Kluyveromyces lactis: one gene and its partners. The protein of the gene in region 1 purifies or fractionates together with the protein of each later gene. This does not show direct contact. Links are inferred from orthologs where the notes say so. Each region holds a gene or a part of one and is shown in the gene's direction. Other genes may lie near its edges.

The links. The genes of interacting proteins can lie anywhere in the genome.
Region 2: the proteins of RLI1 (region 1) and NIP1 purify together in Saccharomyces cerevisiae (affinity purification with western blotting; 4 studies listed by BioGRID, with this or other methods). This does not show direct contact. The link is inferred for Kluyveromyces lactis from reciprocal best matches to the Saccharomyces cerevisiae genes RLI1 and NIP1.
Region 3: the proteins of RLI1 (region 1) and RPG1 purify together in Saccharomyces cerevisiae (affinity purification with mass spectrometry; 3 studies listed by BioGRID, with this or other methods). This does not show direct contact. The link is inferred for Kluyveromyces lactis from reciprocal best matches to the Saccharomyces cerevisiae genes RLI1 and RPG1.
Region 4: the proteins of RLI1 (region 1) and YAE1 purify together in Saccharomyces cerevisiae (affinity purification with mass spectrometry; 3 studies listed by BioGRID, with this or other methods). This does not show direct contact. The link is inferred for Kluyveromyces lactis from reciprocal best matches to the Saccharomyces cerevisiae genes RLI1 and YAE1.

The regions. Positions count from the first base shown.
Region 1 is NC_006039.1:1,541,034-1,549,987, reverse strand, and holds RLI1 (Fe-S cluster-binding ribosome biosynthesis protein), read left to right. Parts: upstream 1-3,760; coding exon 3,761-5,584; downstream 5,585-8,954. Other genes in the region: chromatin-remodeling ATPase CHD1, read right to left, coding at 1-2,098; mannose-ethanolamine phosphotransferase GPI13, read right to left, coding at 6,004-8,954. UniProt on the Saccharomyces cerevisiae protein: Component of the multifactor complex (MFC) involved in translation initiation. Required for the binding of MFC to the 40S ribosome. Required for the processing and nuclear export of the 60S and 40S ribosomal subunits.
Region 2 is NC_006042.1:279,815-284,036, reverse strand, and holds NIP1 (translation initiation factor eIF3 core subunit c), read left to right. Parts: upstream 1-1,422; coding exon 1,423-3,882; downstream 3,883-4,222. Other genes in the region: BGL2 (glucan 1,3-beta-glucosidase), read left to right, coding at 1-533. UniProt on the Saccharomyces cerevisiae protein: Component of the eukaryotic translation initiation factor 3 (eIF-3) complex, which is involved in protein synthesis of a specialized repertoire of mRNAs and, together with other initiation factors, stimulates binding of mRNA and methionyl-tRNAi to the 40S ribosome.
Region 3 is NC_006039.1:1,266,388-1,270,480, reverse strand, and holds RPG1 (translation initiation factor eIF3 core subunit a), read left to right. Parts: upstream 1-1,293; coding exon 1,294-4,071; downstream 4,072-4,093. Other genes in the region: AAA family ATPase SEC18, read left to right, coding at 1-976.
Region 4 is NC_006038.1:1,229,257-1,231,437, reverse strand, and holds YAE1 (Yae1p), read left to right. Parts: upstream 1-1,252; coding exon 1,253-1,681; downstream 1,682-2,181. Other genes in the region: RFC2 (replication factor C subunit 2), read right to left, coding at 1-1,041; phosphatidylinositol kinase-related protein kinase TOR1, read right to left, coding at 1,810-2,181. UniProt on the Saccharomyces cerevisiae protein: The complex LTO1:YAE1 functions as a target specific adapter that recruits apo-RLI1 to the cytosolic iron-sulfur protein assembly (CIA) complex machinery.

The DNA.
Region 1 (8,954 bases):
TTAAAATGTTTTCTCTAGATTTGTGACCATCACCAAACTTAGAAAGAACTCTTTCTTCGGCGTTATCAAAAAGATAGGGATGGTTTGATGCCTTTTTCAATTCATTCATAACATTTAGAAGAGAAACGTGGCCGCCCTTAATACCAGAAGTCAAAGCAGAATAATTCTTTGTTAGAATGTTCTTATAATACTCCGTTTGAACATCAGAGAGTTCCACTCTTAAGATACGTTCGGTTTTCGAGGGCAAGGATTTTTCTACATCTTTTTTCAAACGACGAAGAATAAAGGGTTGTAACCTCTTATGCAAATCTCTGATGTATTCTTCCTGTTGTTCGTCCTGATTTTCAAAGTCGATTTCTTGATCAATAGTGAATCTGCCTGGCATTAAGAAATTCACCAATGCCGCCAATTCTTTAATGTTATTTTGTAACGGTGTACCGGTGATTAACAATCTGTTCGCAACTTTGAAACTGTTTAGAGATTCATATAGAGATGATTCTGCATTTTTCAAACGATGAGCTTCATCCACAGCCAGGAACTGCCACTTAATTGAACCCAACGTTGACCTATCTTTCAAAATATACTCATATGTTGTCAACAGAACGTTAAATTTGAGATGTTTTTTGCCCTTAGCTTGTGGGTTGGTGTAAAATTCATAATCTTGAATTAAGTCCCTTGAAGCTTGATTACCCATATAGTAAACACAGTTCAAACCAGGAGCCCATTTATCAAAAGTTTCTTGCCATGCAGGCATGGTTGATAAAGGTACCACTACTAAATGAGGACCGTTTTGTCTTCTAGCGTAAATGAGCCAACTGATAAATGAAACAGTTTGAACAGTTTTACCAAGACCCATCTCATCAGCAAGGATACCGTTATCGTTCTTTGACCAAAGAAAGGCCATCCAATTGATACCAGTCAATTGAAAATCTCTTAGTTCCCCACCTTTAATGAAACTAGGTTGGGCGTCTAGCTTTTCGAATTTCGGTCTTTGATTTGCTGGGTAATTAGAGGAGTTTTGTGGCATTATCTTGGAATTGGTTCTGTTTTGGAACTCTTTTACCTGTTCAGGAGCCATCTTGACAATCTCGGAGGCTACTTCCCAAGTACACTCATCATAATTTAAACGACGCCATTTTACAAGATACTTCAATTGGGACGAACCTGATCCGTCCTCATTTTCAAAACGTTCCGAGTCAATGATCCGTTCTGGCACCTTGAACTCTTCGAATTCGTCAATTCTACGCTCATGCTCAAGATCCATGACTTCTATATCCTCTCTGGTGGTATATGGGTCTGCTCTCACCTCTTGATCTAAAATGATAAACTGTTTATAATAATTCTCTATTCTTTTCAAACCTTTAGTCCCGTTCTCCTTGAGGTCCTCGTAGGACTCCCAACTGTTATGTAAATGAGATTGATCTGCCCATTTAATAAGGAACTCAAAGTTAGCTCTGATGGAATCCACATCCCATCTACGATTCTTCGTCGATCCCGAATTATCAACACCTTCCTTCAAACGATGATCGACAACGATGTCGATGCTATGCGTTTCCTGTTGCGGCGACGGCGAAGCAGAATATCCATCTTGCAAGTCCATATCCTCGCTATCCAAATTATGACCCTCATCCTGTTCCTCGGAAGATTCCATCAAATCCTCATCGTTAGAATCATCATTTAATGTATAATTAATGACTTTATTATTATTCCGAGACGAAAACCTGGTAGGCAAAACGACATTTTCCTCGTCACTCTCCTCGACACGTTTCGCTTGGCGTTTACTCTTTGAATTACCAGCACTGACACGCTTCCTACCCCTTTTGGCACTAGGTGCGCGGGTTGGTTTCCTTTTCGAACCGAAATCATCAGTGTCACTGAAATCATCAATTTCCTCTTCTTCTTCCTCTTCTTCGTCATAATTATGTTCCTGTTTCACAGCCTTCCGCTTTTGCTTACCCCTTCTGGGACGAATCACTTCCTCATCTGAATCTGAATCTAAACCAGCATAAGTATTATGGGTGATAGCGGCTCTATGCGACCTACGCAACCCGTAAAGTTCCGGATTCGCTAAGACTTCGTCTGGTAAATCCTGTACCATTATTGCATGAATCTAAACAGAGGGAAAAACAAAAAAAAATATTAATACAAAACACAACTTTAACACTCTGTGACAATAGATTCGTTCACCTCCACTGCTTTAGAATACCTATCGAATCCTTAAATGCAGATATTCTCACGTTTAAATCGTGTGCTCTGTTGAATGGGTCTTTTCTTTACAGGTTTAGATTGGAAAAAGAGTTCAAAACAAGTTTTGACTACGGGAAAGATACAGACGATATAGGACTAAAAAAATTTTATAAAACTAGGGTGAGAAAGAGGGTAACTAGGAAGTAATGTATCACATTACCGTTGACAGGTGACAACCAAGACGGGGATTACATTACTATCCATCTCAATCGATGGGGCAAGGTAGCAAGAAGTAGAAGATGATCGGCACATATGTCAGTGGAGACAGACTTGGCAAACGCTGAATAAACACGTACATGGCGTGTCTACTCGGTTTGTTCAGACCGAAGGAAAGAATAAGGTTGGATAATGAACGGTCAAACGGTGGTCAATTGAGGAGGTTTCCAGTTGATAAAACAGCAGTTTCAATTTCAACAGAAAAAAATACAGTACAGTATGAATTCCGTGAATATTTCAAATGCTGGCGATTTCAAAAAGTCGACAATAGAGAGCATATCCCGTACTAATCGAGTACGGGCCCCTTTCATCGTATCAGTAACCAAACGTTTACACACTTGGTGAGCAATTCCATATGAATGATGCACCTCAAAAAGGGAGGAACAAACTCAAGCACTTATATCGCGTTGCCCATTGAAAAATGGGCAACGCGAGCCCACACCGGAGAGACACCCCTGAATCAACCACAATGACATAACTCCAGGGAAATTCCCACCATAGTGGCACTTTCCCGCCCAAATCTACCCTTGCTTCTTCGACATGATTTAACCGCCCAAGTTCCGGAAAAATGATTCCCCGAAAAGTGATATCCAAAGAAGAGAAAACAAGATCTCAAGCCGGCTTTCTTTATATATTCATATCACATCACTCTAAACGATAATTAACTAATCCTTTCATCACCAAAAAAAATTTTTTTTTTTTTTTTCACTGAAAAATTTCACAAAGCTCATCTCATCGAGAAAACGAGAATGGAACAATAACAATTTCCAAGCTTTATCTGTATGAAAACAATGGTAAAGGTTTTAAAATATAAAGTTATTTCACTTGTTTTAGTTTGCTTTAATTCAGTTGTACTTATAATTTGATTACTTGTATCTCAATAAGTAATAGGTTCTGATTCTTTAGTAGTGGTATTCGTTTTTTTAAAGAGTTTTTTTTTGTTTTAGAAGCACAGACTAGAGAATACGGTTTCAAGGCTGGTGAGAAGAGTTTGATATAAGACTACTCTTAAAACTATTTATTTCGGATACAGAAGGATATTATTAATCTGATTTTAATCCATCCTAATTTATATTTTAATCTGTCCTAATCTATCCTAGGTCAATTGCAAAGCAAGGAATCAGGAAGGTTTATAAACTACAGCGTCTCCCACTAGCAAGGGCATAAACAATATACATTTACGGAATCTTTACGCTCCAACTCCCAACATTTTTATTGATAGAGAACGGATACTGGGAAGTACCTGAATTTTAATTCAATCATAGAAACACAAAACAAACTCATAGTACCAAAAAAAATGTCATCGAAAAATACTCGTATCGCTATTGTCAGCGAGGATAAGTGTAAGCCAAAGAAATGTCGTCAGGAATGTAAGAGATCTTGTCCCGTGGTTAAGACTGGTAAGTTATGTATAGAAGTGATGCCTACTTCCAAGATTGCGTTTATCTCTGAAAATTTGTGTATCGGTTGTGGTATTTGTGTTAAAAAGTGTCCATTTGATGCTATTCAAATCATCAATTTGCCAACGAATTTAGATTCTCAAGTGACACATCGTTATTCGGCAAACTCTTTCAAGTTGCATCGTTTGCCCACTCCAAGACCGGGTCAGGTTTTGGGTCTTGTCGGTACCAACGGTATTGGTAAGTCTACTGCATTGAAGATCTTGGCAGGTAAGCAAAAGCCTAACCTTGGTCGTTTCGAAGATCCTCCAGAATGGCAAGAGATCATTAAATATTTCCGTGGTTCTGAATTGCAGAACTATTTCACTAAGATGTTGGAAGATGATATCAAAGCTATCATCAAGCCACAATATGTGGATAACATTCCTCGTGCCATTAAGGGCCCCGTCCAAAAAGTTGGCGAGTTGTTGAAATTGAGATTGGAGAAATCAAAAGATGATGCTAAGAGGTATATCGATATCTTACAGTTAAAGAATGTTTTGAACAGAGAAGTCTCTGCCCTTTCAGGTGGTGAATTGCAAAGATTTGCTATCGGTATGTCTTGTGTTCAGGAAGCAGATGTTTATATGTTCGATGAACCTTCTTCTTATTTGGATGTTAAGCAACGTTTGAACGCTGCTTTAATTATCAGATCTCTATTGAATCCAACCACATACGTTATCTGTGTGGAGCACGATTTATCGGTGCTAGATTATTTGTCGGATTTTGTTTGTATTATTTATGGTGTGCCTTCTGTTTATGGTGTTGTTACTTTACCATCTTCTGTCCGTGAAGGTATTAATATATTCTTAGATGGTCACATTCCGTCTGAAAATTTGCGTTTCAGAACTGAAGCGCTACAATTCCGTATGGCTGATGCTGGTGATGAATTGGAAGCCGATGCAAGCCGTGCATTCACTTACCCAGATATGAAACGTACACAAGGTGATTTCTCTCTAACCGTTGAAGCAGGTGAATTCTCCGATTCTCAAATCTTGGTTATGATGGGTGAAAACGGTACTGGTAAGACAACATTAATTAAACTTCTTGCAGGTGCTATTCCTGCTGATGATGGTCAAGATATTCCTAAGTTGAACGTTTCAATGAAGCCCCAGAAGATTGCTCCAAAGTTCACTGGTACTGTGCGTCAATTGTTCTTTAAGAGAATTAGAGCACAATTCTTGAACCCACAGTTCCAAACTGATGTCGTTAAGCCTTTGAAAATCGATGATATCATTGATCAAGAAGTTCAGCATTTGTCTGGTGGTGAATTACAGAGAGTGGCTATTGTGCTTTCTTTGGGTATGAATGCTGACATTTACTTGATTGATGAACCATCTGCCTACTTAGATTCTGAACAACGTATCATTTGTTCTAAAGTTATCAGACGTTTCATCTTGCATAATAAGAAAACTGCATTCATCGTCGAGCACGATTTTATCATGGCTACATATTTGGCCGATAAAGTCATCGTGTTCGATGGTATCCCATCTAAGCAAGCTTTCGCTAGAGCTCCAGAAAGTTTGTTGACTGGTTGTAACAAATTCTTAAAGAACTTGAACGTTACCTTCAGAAGAGATCCAACCTCTTTCAGACCAAGAATCAATAAATTAGACTCCCAAATGGATAAAGAACAAAAGTCATCTGGTAACTATTTCTTCTTAGACCACAATGGTGTTTAATCGCCTTACTAATGGCGATCGGGTATCCATTCTAATGTGTCTTTTTTGCTTATTTTTTTGTCATTATTCATCATTCATCCTATCTAATTCTCATCATTTCTTATCTGTTGGCTGGTTTTTAAGGTTATATTACAAATCATGAATCAATTCCAATTGATTGGAACGGCATAGTCCTCGGCAATACCATTTTTGTGCATAAATGTTACTGTACAATAATTAATACATCTGTATAATATCTATAAATTATTTATTCTCCCAATTATCAACCAAAAATTTCGCGAGATATTGAATGCAAATCAAATAAAACAGGCCTCTTCAAAACGACACATACGAATCGTCCGTGTCCATCTCGCATAAATAAATAAATAAATTTATTTATACATTAAGAGAGTTCCTACTATATTGGTTTCGAGTAAGGTTTATTTTGAAAACAATTGACTTATCTGCCTGATTAGTCTAGAACTTGCAAAACCAATAGTAATAAATGTTACAACGAGTTGACTTACTATCAAACATAATGATGCAAATAGGAATCGAGGACAGAATATTTTCCACACCATTAGGTGTCTTCTGAAATGCGTCACCCAAACAAAACTGCTCAAACATAGAACACTGTTATATATCAACAAAGTACCGGAATTCGAAACAATTCTTGCAAGAATTGTTTGTGGTTGTAAGACACTTGGCGGTTGCTTCCAAAGAGTTAATAAGGCCACGGAAAGCGCTACCAATATGAATGGCCCAAAGGTATTCAATACAATCCCAAGGTGTGTCCAAGGAAAAATGATCTTTTCTGTTAAAATGAAACCCATATCCCATTGAACTGATGGAATTGTCGCTTGATGCCCAGTACTGAAAAACTGTTGATACGCTAGTAAACCAAGGGCAACGGGTCCGATTAAACTCTCTTTTACTTTGAGTAGGTCACATATTTCAATGATAGAAAGTAATTGGTTGCACATTAAGAATATTGATAGTTGACCTAATGGCTTATTGAAAAGCATGATAGCCATCAAAAAGTTTATGACCAATAGAAAGTATTGGGATCCATAGACGTTAGAGTAACCTAAGATTGTGGCCTGTTGAGATTTCAAGTCTGTATTATGGATGTTTAGTTTAACACATAGGGGCCCTTTCATCCAGCCAATATTACAGGCAATTAACGATATACCGACAATAATACGAGATATAGTATATTTCCAGATAGTTAGGTCCCATGCTAAATCTTCGAATTTATTTTCTATTGTCAGTAAAGACCAGTATGTGAAACTCGCAAACAAAGAACCCTTTAGAATCAACCCGATCCAGATCGGTGCTGCTGCTTGATAAGATGAGCATACGTTGTAATAACCCTTAATACAAGAAGGGATTGCAGGAATTAAAAATAAACACCCCAACATGGTATAGTATGAATAGTTATTGGAGATAGTAAACGTTGGCGTGCAATATGGTCCTTGTTCTTCACGGCAAATAGTAATCATGGAAGAGAGTCTTGTGCATAGAACCAACACAATAGAATGATACCCACCTAATATCCTTGCGAATCTGCCCAGCGGTAAAGAATCTGAATTAGATTCGCCCACAGATTTACCGGATAAAGTCCCTTGTTTTTCTCCGGCTCCAGATAAAATAGCAGCTGTTGAGTGTCTTTGCGGTAGGAACGCGAATTCATATAATGTTAGCATACCAAAAGTGGTTAGCAAGAAAGCGACAATCCTATCTTCCCAAATGGTAAATGAATTAGAGGTAAACAGAAGGGCGTGCAATGTGATGAATAAGGTCGCTATTCTTGACCAATAATCGGATAGTTCTTCAACCAAACGTAAACATAACCATTGGACACTATAGCGATCAAATATAGGGATGAACACTCCCAAAATAATTCCAACAGAAGTAGCAAAAGCAGAGCACCAAAGAGAATTATCCAAAAATGCTGGTTGATGTAACACTTGGTAGATACCTTGGAAGCTGACATTTGATATTGCCGAAATGACTACGACACAACCAACGAAATCACCAACCATCTGGCCAACAACTATCGAAGGTATCAACTTGATTATAATGAGTAACAATATCAAAGAAAAAGCCATGAGTGCTATTCCTACGCATATACTTGTGAAATCAAATCTTGCCCACAAATCTTTACAAATTTCAAGGAACATTTGTTGAAACTCTGGGTGGTTCTCGACGCTTATCAACGCATCACGTCTAGCAGTGGCACCGATTATGTTACTGACGCTCAAATATTTCTCTAATTGGTTCCGACATATATTGTGGTAAAGCGTTAATTCTTCAGGGTCATTTGCAATTTCATCCAACGGCCAACCCAAATTATTGAATGGAATTGGAATTCCCAATAGTAAGGAGAGGGTAGGCACCAGGTCAATCTGGTTCATTTGCTTATATGAAGTACCCAGATCTGTAGTATTATAACTGTCGTAATCCTTACTCCAGTTGGCATTCTTCGCGTATAGCCAAAGGACACTTTCCAACTCGTCTTGCGAATCACCACCGTGGTTTCCTGTGTGGTCCATACCGTGATCACCCATAACAACGTATAACGTGTTATCATCTGCAGTGCTTATAATTTTCCGCAATAGCTCATCAACTTGAAGCTGTTTTTCCTTCATGGTAAAATGATTAGGACCGTACTTATGTCCGACATGATCAACTCCTAACATATGTCCGATCAAGATATCGTATTCAGACCGTTTCTCTTCATTGAAATAATACTCCTCTAAGTAAGAAATAACCCCATTATCGACTGTGTCTAAATCCCAAACGTTCAAGGATTCATATGGTACACTTTCTGGAGCCAAATACGGATTAAATAGGGCATCCCAAGTGTCATCACCGGCAAAGAATATTTTCTTGTTATGCAGATAAAGCTGTTTTATTAAGTTATCCTCATCGATCACATCACCATTGAAATTCGATCCTGCATCTATAAATGTAGGCAAGGAACCTGTTGTCAATCCCTTTAATCTTTGTAGCGTAGTTGTGGGAGGATCAGCCAAAAACTTCAACAAGACAGAATCCGTTGAGTTATGGGCCGTCTCATAAAGAACTTTCAAATTGTTATGATAATTAGGGTTGTACTTGGCATGATTTTCATCTACTGGAATAACGAAATCAAACCTCAATGCGTCCACTATTAGTAAAACCATCTTATCGTATTTAGCTTCGAAGGGAAGCTGGGGATCAAGTTCTGCAACGTTATCCAACACCGTCCTTGTTAAAAGGAACCCTTTTGCGAAAAATGCTATGGAAATAAACTGCAATACAGCCAAAGAAGCAAGTAATAGTATGTACAGAGTGTGCGTAGACTTGAACCTTGATATCCGATAGCTCATTCGACTGGACCTCGTTT
Region 2 (4,222 bases), on another chromosome or scaffold:
ATGCTATCTCTGATGTCAAGGACTACATTAAAGACATCAAGGATTCCGATGGTAACTCTTACAGTGGCAAGCAAGTCGGTACTGTTGACTCATGGAACGTTTTGGTCGATGGTGGATCTGCTACCGCCATTCAAGCTGCTGACTTTGTCATGGCGAACGCCTTCTCTTACTGGCAAGGTCAAACTATGGATAATGCTTCTTACTCGTTCTTCGACGATATCATGCAAGCTCTACAAACTATCCAAACTACCAAGGGTTCTACTGACATTCAATTCTGGGTTGGTGAAACTGGCTGGCCAACCGATGGTACCAACTTTGAAAGTGCTTACCCAGGTCTAGATAACGCTAAGCAATTTTGGGCTGATGGTATTTGTGCTATGAGAGGCTGGGGTGTCAACGTTATCGTTTTCGAAGCTTTCGATGAGGACTGGAAACCAGATACTTCTGGTATTTCCGATGTTGAAAAGTACTGGGGTGTTTGGGATGCCAACAGAAACTTGAAGTTCAAGTTGGATTGTGATTTCAGCTCTTAATTTTTGAGTTGAGCTTCTCTTCTCTTTAACATACAATACAGATTGTGTGTATTTTTTTTACCCTTCCACTTTCTCATTTGATACCGGTTATAATTGTTGACTTGTTGTTTCCTTTCGTCTCCTATTAACAACTCAAAATTATACAAATGAAGCTTTCATGTCACATTTAGGTCACACATTCCTTCAGCAAATTGATCCATTCATACTTGTTACTACGGCTGTTATCTAAAGGTGATATTAACTTATTACCTACTTGAATTCTTCAAATTGCGATACTATCCATTTTAATTCCTGGACTAAAAAAAAAAAAGAACATTAAAAGAGTACTTTATATATCACAACAGCAGAACATTTTCATGAACCATAAATGTATCTATCCCGTTGTCGAAGTATGCCCACAAAACATCGATCAAGAAGGCATCGTATATGGTATGAAAGCTTCAAAATTATTTTATTTCTTAGCAACATCTATATTTCACTTTTCATATAACTAAATTAAATCGATATTATTTTATACCCTATTTATCATCGATGATTATACGCAATCACACAAAGTTAGACGTCCATTTTGGCCTAACATCAACCGGCGACAGACTCCCACTTCACTTTGTTCTTTGCAATGGTACATTCATTTATCATTACCCGGCTACCAATCGTGTTCCATGATTATTTGAAAATTTTCACAAATTTTCACTCAGTGAAAGCTCATCTCAAAAGAAAATCTGAAAGGTTTGAAATCGAATTAATAGATGAAATTCAGTTGAGACGTGTAATAAGCAATACTTTTCAATTGTAGGTTGGAATCACCAGGTCGTAACAGGGAGACTAGGTTGAGATTAGTACGTGGTATTAAGGAAATAGAACAACGTTAAGCGATAGTCCATTCATCATGTCCCGTTTTTTTTTGAAGACATATGAGTACGATTCAACGTCTTCTGGTGAAGAAGAAGACTTGTTATCTCAAAGTGAAGAGGATTTAGTTTCATCCTCCAGTGAGGAAGAATTATCTGATGACTCTTTCTTCAACGACTCTGATGAGAGTTCCGATAATGATGAAGACAATGATTCTGATAGCAAACCCTACGGCCCTGACTGGTTCAAGAAGCCAGAATTCAGAAAAGGTGGTGGTTCAGGTGCTAACAAGTTCTTGAAATCTACCAACTATTCATCTGATGAAGACTCATCCGACGAAGAAGATGGTAAGAAGGTTGTGAAGTCAGCAAAAGAGAAGTTGTTGGATGAAATGAAATCTATTTACCAAAAAATTGATTCCGCAGAAGCCCAACAAGATTGGGAATCATTATTAAACCATTTGGAAACCATTTTGAAATTATACACAAAAGCCCAACAACAAAACTACGGTACACCTAATATCTTTGTGAAGTCATTGGCTAGATTTGAAGATGCGGTATCTGCTACTTCTCAGGATGAAATTAAGAATAAGGCAGTTGCAAGAGCTTATAACACCACCAAGCAAAGAGTTAAGAAGTTAATCAGAGAAAACGAAACCTCCGTTAAGGCTTACAGAGAAAACCCAGAGGACTTTGACAAGGAACCTGTCTTAGATGCTGATATAGACTCAAGAGATGTCTCTGCTACTCCATTCTCCTTGAGTGGTAAGAAGAATTTAGACTTGGCATCCGTGGCAAATAACATTTCTGAGCTAGACTTTTTCAAGACGTTGAATATTATCATCGATTCTAGAGGTAAGAAAAACACTGACCACACAGAACAAATTAAAACCACCGAAGAACTATTGAAGATTGCCAAGACTCCATATGAAAAGATCTGTACATACTTGAACTTGATTCCAATCAGATTCGATGCATCTGTATCCTTATCATACCAACCACTAGAACAATGGAAAGCATCAAAGGATAACTTGGATGGTTTATTGGAAGTGCTGGAACAAGAGATCGACCACTATCAAGTTACTGAATTTGCCCCAAGAAATGATTTCATTGAAGATGAACCAGAAGCTAATGAGCATGGTGTCAAGGAAATTTTGGGTTCTATCTTCTCTATGGTTGAAAGATTGGACGATGAATTTAGCAAATCCCTTTTGAACATTGACACTCGTTCCAGTGAATACATGGAACGTTTGAGAGATGAACAATCTATTTACAATTTGATTATCAGATCCCAATTGTACTTTGAACGTGTAACTGCAGAAGAACACCGCGATAGACTTTTGGCCCGTGTCTTCAACAGAAGACTTGAACATATCTACTACAAGTCCGACAAGCTCATCTCTATTATGGAAACCGTTGCATGGAAACAAATTCGTGAAGGAACTGCGTCCCTTGAATCCTCTTTCGTTCGTTTGAATGAATCAGATTCCGCAGATGCCGATTACAACTTCAAGGTCATCTCTGAATTGTCCGATTTCTTAATTAAACAAAAGAGTAACAACGTGTTCAACTACAGAAAAGGTACCTTGTACAAAACATATTATATTGCATTGAACCAAGAATACGCTCCAGCAAAGAAAATAATGCTTTCTTCCGATATTGCTAAATTCATTTCAGGCTCTGATGCAGCATTACAAATTTTGTACAATAGATGTGTTATTCAACTTGGTTTGGCTGCATTTAAGGCTGGTTTAATAAATGAATGTCACCAAGTTTTGAACGGTCTTTGTATTAATCCACATCTAAGAGAAATTTTGGGTCAACAAAGTTTACAAAGAGCTAATGCGAACAGCAATGTCGTGCAGGGTGCCCCTGTTGAACAATTATGTCTTCCTTTCCATCAACACATCAACTTGGATCTAATTGACACCGTCTACATGACATGTTCTTTATTACTTGATGTGCCTCACATGGCAGCTTATTACAGCGGTATTAAGGTCAAGAGAATCCCAGTTTTCCAAAAATCTATCCGCCGTATTCTAGAGAGTTCAGAGAAAGCTATTTTCCATGGTCCTCCAGAAACTCTAAGAGATCACATTCTTTATGCTGCAAAGTCAATGCAAAAGGGTGATTACTTACAATCGATCGAATATTTGAGGAAAATTTCTGTGTGGTCTTTGTTGAGTAAATCTGATGATATCATCAACCAACTAAGTGAAAAGGTTCAAATTGAAACTTTGAAAACTTACATTTTCACTTACAAGAGATTCTACTCTAAAATATCCATTTCTAAATTATCGAAATTGTTTGATCTTGATATCGAAAAGGTTTTGGCTGTAGCACAAAACATCATCAATGATTACGAAGTTAAAGCCAAATTGGATGAAAATAACGAATACATTATCTTCGAAAGAGGCGAAGAAATCACAAAGTTAGAAGAAGTTGCCATCAAGTTAGTTAAAGAAACCAAGTACCACTCTGAACGTTTACGCCAGTAAACATTTTCATTCTTCGTTCAGCAGATAAGGTCAGTTTCTAATTGTAGCACTCACCTTCCATACACATAACAAAATTTGCTCTTCCTTCTTTTGTTCACTTACCGTGCGCATATTAATAGACAGAGTCGTTGGCAAAGAACCTTTGTTTTAGCATTTGCAATAAATACTAGTATTTGTACATTATCGATAATATATAACATAGTTCTCACTGTAGGCAATTACGTAGTTTTTGAAATCAATTAATTGAATTTTGGAGACATATAACATCTCGAACATTGACTCGTAACAATACAGTTTATGCGCTGGTTCATTCTATATATATATGTATATGATACACATT
Region 3 (4,093 bases), about 280 kb from region 1:
AATGAGAGAAAACAACATGCTCGCACATGATGTTAGCTTGAAAGAACTTGCATCACTCACGAAGAATTTCTCCGGTGCTGAAATTGAGGGTTTGGTGAAGAGTGCTAGTTCTTTTGCAATCAACAAGACTGTAAATATCGGAAAAGGGGCAACCAAACTAAAAACCAAAGACATTGCAAACATGAAGGTGACTAGACAAGATTTCTTGAATGCGTTAGATGAAGTGACTCCTGCGTTTGGTGTTAGTGAAGAAGATTTGAAGACTTGCGTAGAAGGTGGAGTCTTTAGGTTCTCCAACTCCGTAGACGACATTTTGAAAAACGGTGCTAGATACGTCCGTCAAGTGAGAGAGTCAGACAAATCAAGACTAGTATCCTTACTAGTGCATGGTCCTCCAGGTTCAGGAAAAACTGCCTTAGCTGCCGCCATTGCATTGAAGTCTGAGTTCCCATTTGTTAGATTAATTTCCCCTGAAGAAATAGCAGGTATGTCGGAAACGGCCAAGATCGCATACATCGACAATACCTTCAGAGATGCTTACAAATCGCCACTTAACATTCTAGTTATCGATTCGATAGAGACTCTAGTTGACTGGGTTCCAATTGGTCCAAGGTTCTCTAATAATATCCTACAAGTACTCAAGGTCTATTTGAAAAGAAAACCTCCAAATAATCGTCGTTTGCTTATCATCTCTACTACGTCCGCTTACACGGTGCTTAAGCAAATGGATATACTAAGTTGTTTCGACAACGAAATTGCTGTCCCAAACGTATCAAACCTAGATGAACTGAATAACATTATGACAGATTCCGGATTTCTTGACGATGCTGGTAGAGTCGAAGTTATCCGCAAATTATCCCAAGTTACATCTACTCTCAACGTCGGCGTGAAAAAAGTACTCACAAACATTGAAACAGCAAGACACGATGAGGATCCCGTCAATGAACTTGTTGATCTAATGGTGCAATCATCTTGAATTATACTATTCATTTCTAATATGATACATTTATATATATATATATATTATACATATGTGATATGTACTCGCGACATAGCACATAAACTTCAACTTCGTTCTCAATGATATCAACTTTTGATGAAGGTTGAAATTTTTCAGCATGCTTCCGTTGAAGATCAAAGAGAATAAGTGAAAAAAAACTTTTCAGTCTATTTATGTGAAACTTCTTCCTATTGCACCTTGCAAAATAAAGATATATACTTGGATCTAGTCTCTGATTTAGAAAGGGTAGATAACAACCGTTCTCGACCCATCGATTATACTAGCATTTCATCATGGCTCCACCGGCTTTACGTCCTGAGAATGCCATTAGAAGAGCTGACGAATTAGTCTCTGTTGGCGAGCCAATGGCTGCGTTGCAATCTCTATTTGATTTATTATCTTCAAGAAGGTCTCGTTTTGCTGATGCTGCCACTTTGGAACCTATAATCTTCAAGTTCTTGGAACTTGGTGTTGAATTGAGGAAGGGTAAAATGATCAAGGAAGGTTTATACCAATACAAGAAGCATATGCAACACACTCCCGAAGGTTTGATTTCTGTAGGTGCTGTTGCTCGTAAATTCATCGATTTGATCGAAACTAAGATGACCAACATCCAAGCGCAAACTGATGCCAAAGAAGAATCCAACAAGGACCAAGCCGAAGAGGATCTAGAGGGTGGTGTCACCCCAGAAAATTTGTTGGTTTCTGTTTACGAACAAGAACAAACTGTTGGTGGATTCAACAATGATGATGTTTCAGCTTGGTTGAGATTTACCTGGGAATCTTACCGTACCACTCTAGATTTCTTGAGAAATAATTCTCAATTGGAAATCACGTATGCGGGTGTTGTTAACAGAACCATGCAATTCTGTTACAAATATAACCGTAAGAATGAATTCAAGCGTTTAGCTGAAATGTTACGTCAACATTTGGATGCCGCAAACTACCAACAACAGAGATATGGTCACCACACTGTCGATTTATCAGATCCTGACACTTTGCAACGTTATTCTGACCAACGTTTCCAACAAGTTAACGTTTCTGTTAAATTGGAATTATGGCATGAAGCTTTCAGATCCATTGAAGATGTTCATCATTTGATGCGTCTCTCGAAGCGTGCTCCAAAGCCCTCTGTGTTGGCCAACTACTACGAAAATTTGGCCAAGATCTTCTTTGTCTCTGGTAACTATTTATTGCACGCTGCTGCATGGGAAAAATTCTACAATTTGTACTTGAAGAATCCAAATGCTTCCGAAGAAGACTTTAAGTTCTATTCATCTCAATTTGTCTTGTCCGCTTTGGCAATTCAATTGGATGACTTACCAATTGCTGGTTTCGATCCTCAAATTCGTCTATGTGACTTACTAGACCTTGAAAGTAAACCAAAGAGAAAGGATTTGATTACTGCTGCTGGTGAACAACAAGTCGTAGAGAAAGCTGACGCTGATATTTTGAAATTCTTCAATATATTGGAAACTAATTTCGATGTGAAGTCTGCTAAGTCTCAATTGTCTGCACTTTTGCCAAACTTGGTTGAAAAGCCATATTTCGCCCAATACGTGGCTCCATTGAGAAACCTATTCATCAGAAGATCCATCATTGAAGTCTCAAAGGCTCAAACATCTATTCACTTAGTTGAATTGCATGAAATGTTGTCACTGCCAGCTCCTTTCGAATTATCTGTTTTTGAACTAGAAAAATACTTAATCCAAGCTGCTATGGATGATTATGTTAGTATTTCCATTGACCATGAAACTGATACCGTTTCATTTGCCCAAGATCCATTTGACGCTTGGCAAGCATCTCTTGTTGAAGTTCCCGAATCTAGCACTTCTGATGAAGCAAAGAACTCTGAATCCGAAGAGGAAACCTCCCAAGAAACGCATGCTGATGAGGAACAGAATGAACAAGTCTTCACTCGTAACTCAGAAGTCCGTTCTAAGTTGACTGATCTATCCAAGATCTTAAAGGCCAACGAAGAATACGAAAATGGTTCTTACTATTACAGAGTCAAACTTGTGCGTGAAGAATTGATCAGAAGAAAGGAAGAAGTTATCAAGTTAGAAAAGGAAGCTGCTGAAATTAGAGCTAAGAGTAACGCTGAACGCAAGAAGAGAAGCGAAGAAGAAAACAAGATTCTTGCCAAGAAGGCTCTAGAAGAAAGGCAAAGACGTATGGCTGAGGAAAAGGCTGCTGTTGAATCTTCTATGGAGAAAGAAGCGGAACGTCGTGCTGAAGAAATGATGGAACGTGAGAGAGAAGCGATCCATGAACAAGAAATGAAGAAGTTGATTGCTGAAACTAATGCCAATGGTGTCATTCATATTGATCCAAAGGAAGCCAAGAACCTAACAAGTGATAAGATCAACCAAATGGTCATTGAACAAGTAGCCAAGAACAAGAAGGATTTGACTGAACGTATGACCTATGCCTTCAAGAAGTTAGATCACCTGGAAAGAGCCTATAGACAAATGGAATTGCCATTGTTAGAAAAGGACGCTGAAGAGCAAAAAAAGAGGGATAGAGAGAATTACGACAATTTCAAGAAGAAGTTAATTGAGACTTCCAAGGCCGACTATGAAAAGAAATTGGCTCTACATCAACGTTTGAACAAAATCTACAGTACTTTCAACCAATACAAGTCATCTGTTATCGCTGAAAAGAAGGAAGAGTTAGAAAAACAACGCGCCTTGAAGGAAGCTCAATTAGAAGAAGCTAAGAAGCAAAGAATTGAACAAGTCCGTAAGGAACGTTATGAAGCTAAAGTTGCTGAAATACAAGCTGCAATTGAAGCTGAAGCTGCTGAAAAGGAGGCTTTGGCTAAGGAGGAAGAACTTGCCAAGAGACGTGCCGAACGTGAAAGAATCAACAAGGAAAGAGACGAAATTGCTAGAAAGCAAAGAGAAATCGAAGAACTTCTTGAAAAGAAGAACGGTAGCTCTAGATCTAGCCCTGTTCCTTCTACTCCAACCCCAGCACCAGCACCAGCACAAACTGCTCCGGTATCCAATAAACCAATGTCTATGGCTGAAAAGTTGAGACTGAAGAGAATGAATGCTGGAAGAGGTTAATATCTTGCATATCTCATTCAGA
Region 4 (2,181 bases), on another chromosome or scaffold:
TACCTTCATTGCTAGGTTCAACATTTGAAGATGCTCGCTAGCTCCGTTGGTTAACTTGGAATCGCTATCGAAAAGTAGCCAAGATACCTTATTCTTAAACTCTGTATCGTAGCTTTCATTCTTGATGTAATACTCATGCAATTGGGTCAATGCTGAAGCTGCACTCCATCCCTGGTTAACAAATTCCTGTACCTTATCAATAATCTTGTTGAGATCTTTTCCTTTTATTACGTTGATTAGATCCTGTAGTATCTCTTCATGAATCGTCCCCGATAATTCATTAGCATGCTTCAAAGTAATAGTATTCGCATCATCGTTCTGCAACACGATCTTAGCTGCAGATTGGAGCAGAGTTATAGCCTTTCTTAGATCACCTTGGGAAATATCTAATATTCTTTCAAGAACACCGTCTTCATATTTCAAAGATTCTTCGTTAGCGATGAACTGTAGACGGCTTAGTGCATTGGATGAATCCAACGCTTTGAATCTGAATTTGGAACACCTTGAAGCCAAGGGATCAATGATTCTAGTAACGTAATTACAGATCAAACAGAATCTAGTGACACCAGAATAGGTTTCCATGGTTCTACGCAGCGCACTTTGTGCGTCAGCAGTCATAGAATCGGCTTCATCAAGAATGATAATTTTGTATGGTGGACATGGATAATTCGCAAGGTCTGATTCTGATGGCTTAGACACAGTGAGCCTAGCAAAGTTCTTCACTTTCTCTCTGACGATCGAAATACCACGTTCATCGGACGCGTTTAATTCTAGAACTCTGCTGTTCGATAAATGGGGACCGTACAACTCTTTCGTCAAAGCAAGAATAGTAGAAGTCTTACCAGTACCAGGAGGACCATAAAACAACATATGTGGCAAATTTGCAGTCTGTAAAGTCCTTTTCAAGACGGTAACGGCATGATCCTGAGCAGCAACATCATCTAATTTCCTTGGTCTATACTTTTCAACCCATGGTTTTGCTTGACCTTTACCATCTGATGGGTTCAACTTCTGTTTCTTGAATATCGTTCCACTAGACATCGCGCCTCAACACCTTCTTGAGCTCTCAATGGCCCTTTACAAACCTTTATTTCTCATATTTTATAATCCAAAAGATCTTATCATTCAAAGTCGTTAAAGGTTCAGCTGGGAATTTTTCAATGTTGAAAGCTTATTAAATACAGAGTACACGATGAGATGATAAAGAGGTGTCCACTAGAGGACCAAGATATTGATCATAACCTCACGACCAATGACCGTGGAGATGACAGATGAGGAAAATATATGGGGCTCTGATAATGAGGCCAGTACCGGTCCTCAAGAGTCGCTAGAAGTGAAGAAACTTCAACAAATACATTCGAAAAGAGGGTATTTAGATGGTATTTCGTCAGCGAAGGAGGAAAACTTGCAAGCTGGGTTTGACGATACCTTCCCCTTGGGTGCTAAGTATGGGTTTCAAATAGGGGAAATTGTGGGTAAATTGAGGCTATTTACCACGCTTTATGGGAATGCAGACCCTCAAGTTGCTGCAGACTTAAAGCAAGCTCAAGACGAACTACGGATTAACAGGGTGTTGTCCGCTAGACACTTCGATGAAGAATTACAACCTTTAGATTCATTGAAGGTACTCCTATCCAAATGGCAAGCTCGGGTATTGGATTATGAAGGTAAGTATTCTTGATGAGTATGATTTTTATTTTGATAAATAATGACAGGTATACGCACCTTCTTACAAATACATAGTGTATAAGAAGATATAATGATTCAATAGTCTATAATGCTTTTAGCGATGTTCTTTTTGTTTAGGTATCACCAGAACGAACACCAGCCGATGTAATGTTGACATAGGTTTTCTACTGATGTAGCTTGCTGGATCAACTTGTCGACTTGATCAGGCACAGATAGTTCTTGATACCTTGGGAAATCGTTACCAGTAAGTTTATCAGCGATTCTTTTGAGAACAAGAGTGGCTCTTGCGTTGCGGACTTCTGCCTTTTGTTGTAGTTCCATCTTGGCCGCATCTTCAACGGTGATGACGCCCTTTCTTAGTAACTCACTTGGATTTGCAAGAGGTAGATCTATTCCCGTCTGTTCCATCACGGCTTGAGTCGGTAGATCGAAACCCCAGTTGATTAATGGATCGTATGCAAAGGCTTCCAAAATAGCCATCAAGGACTCCTT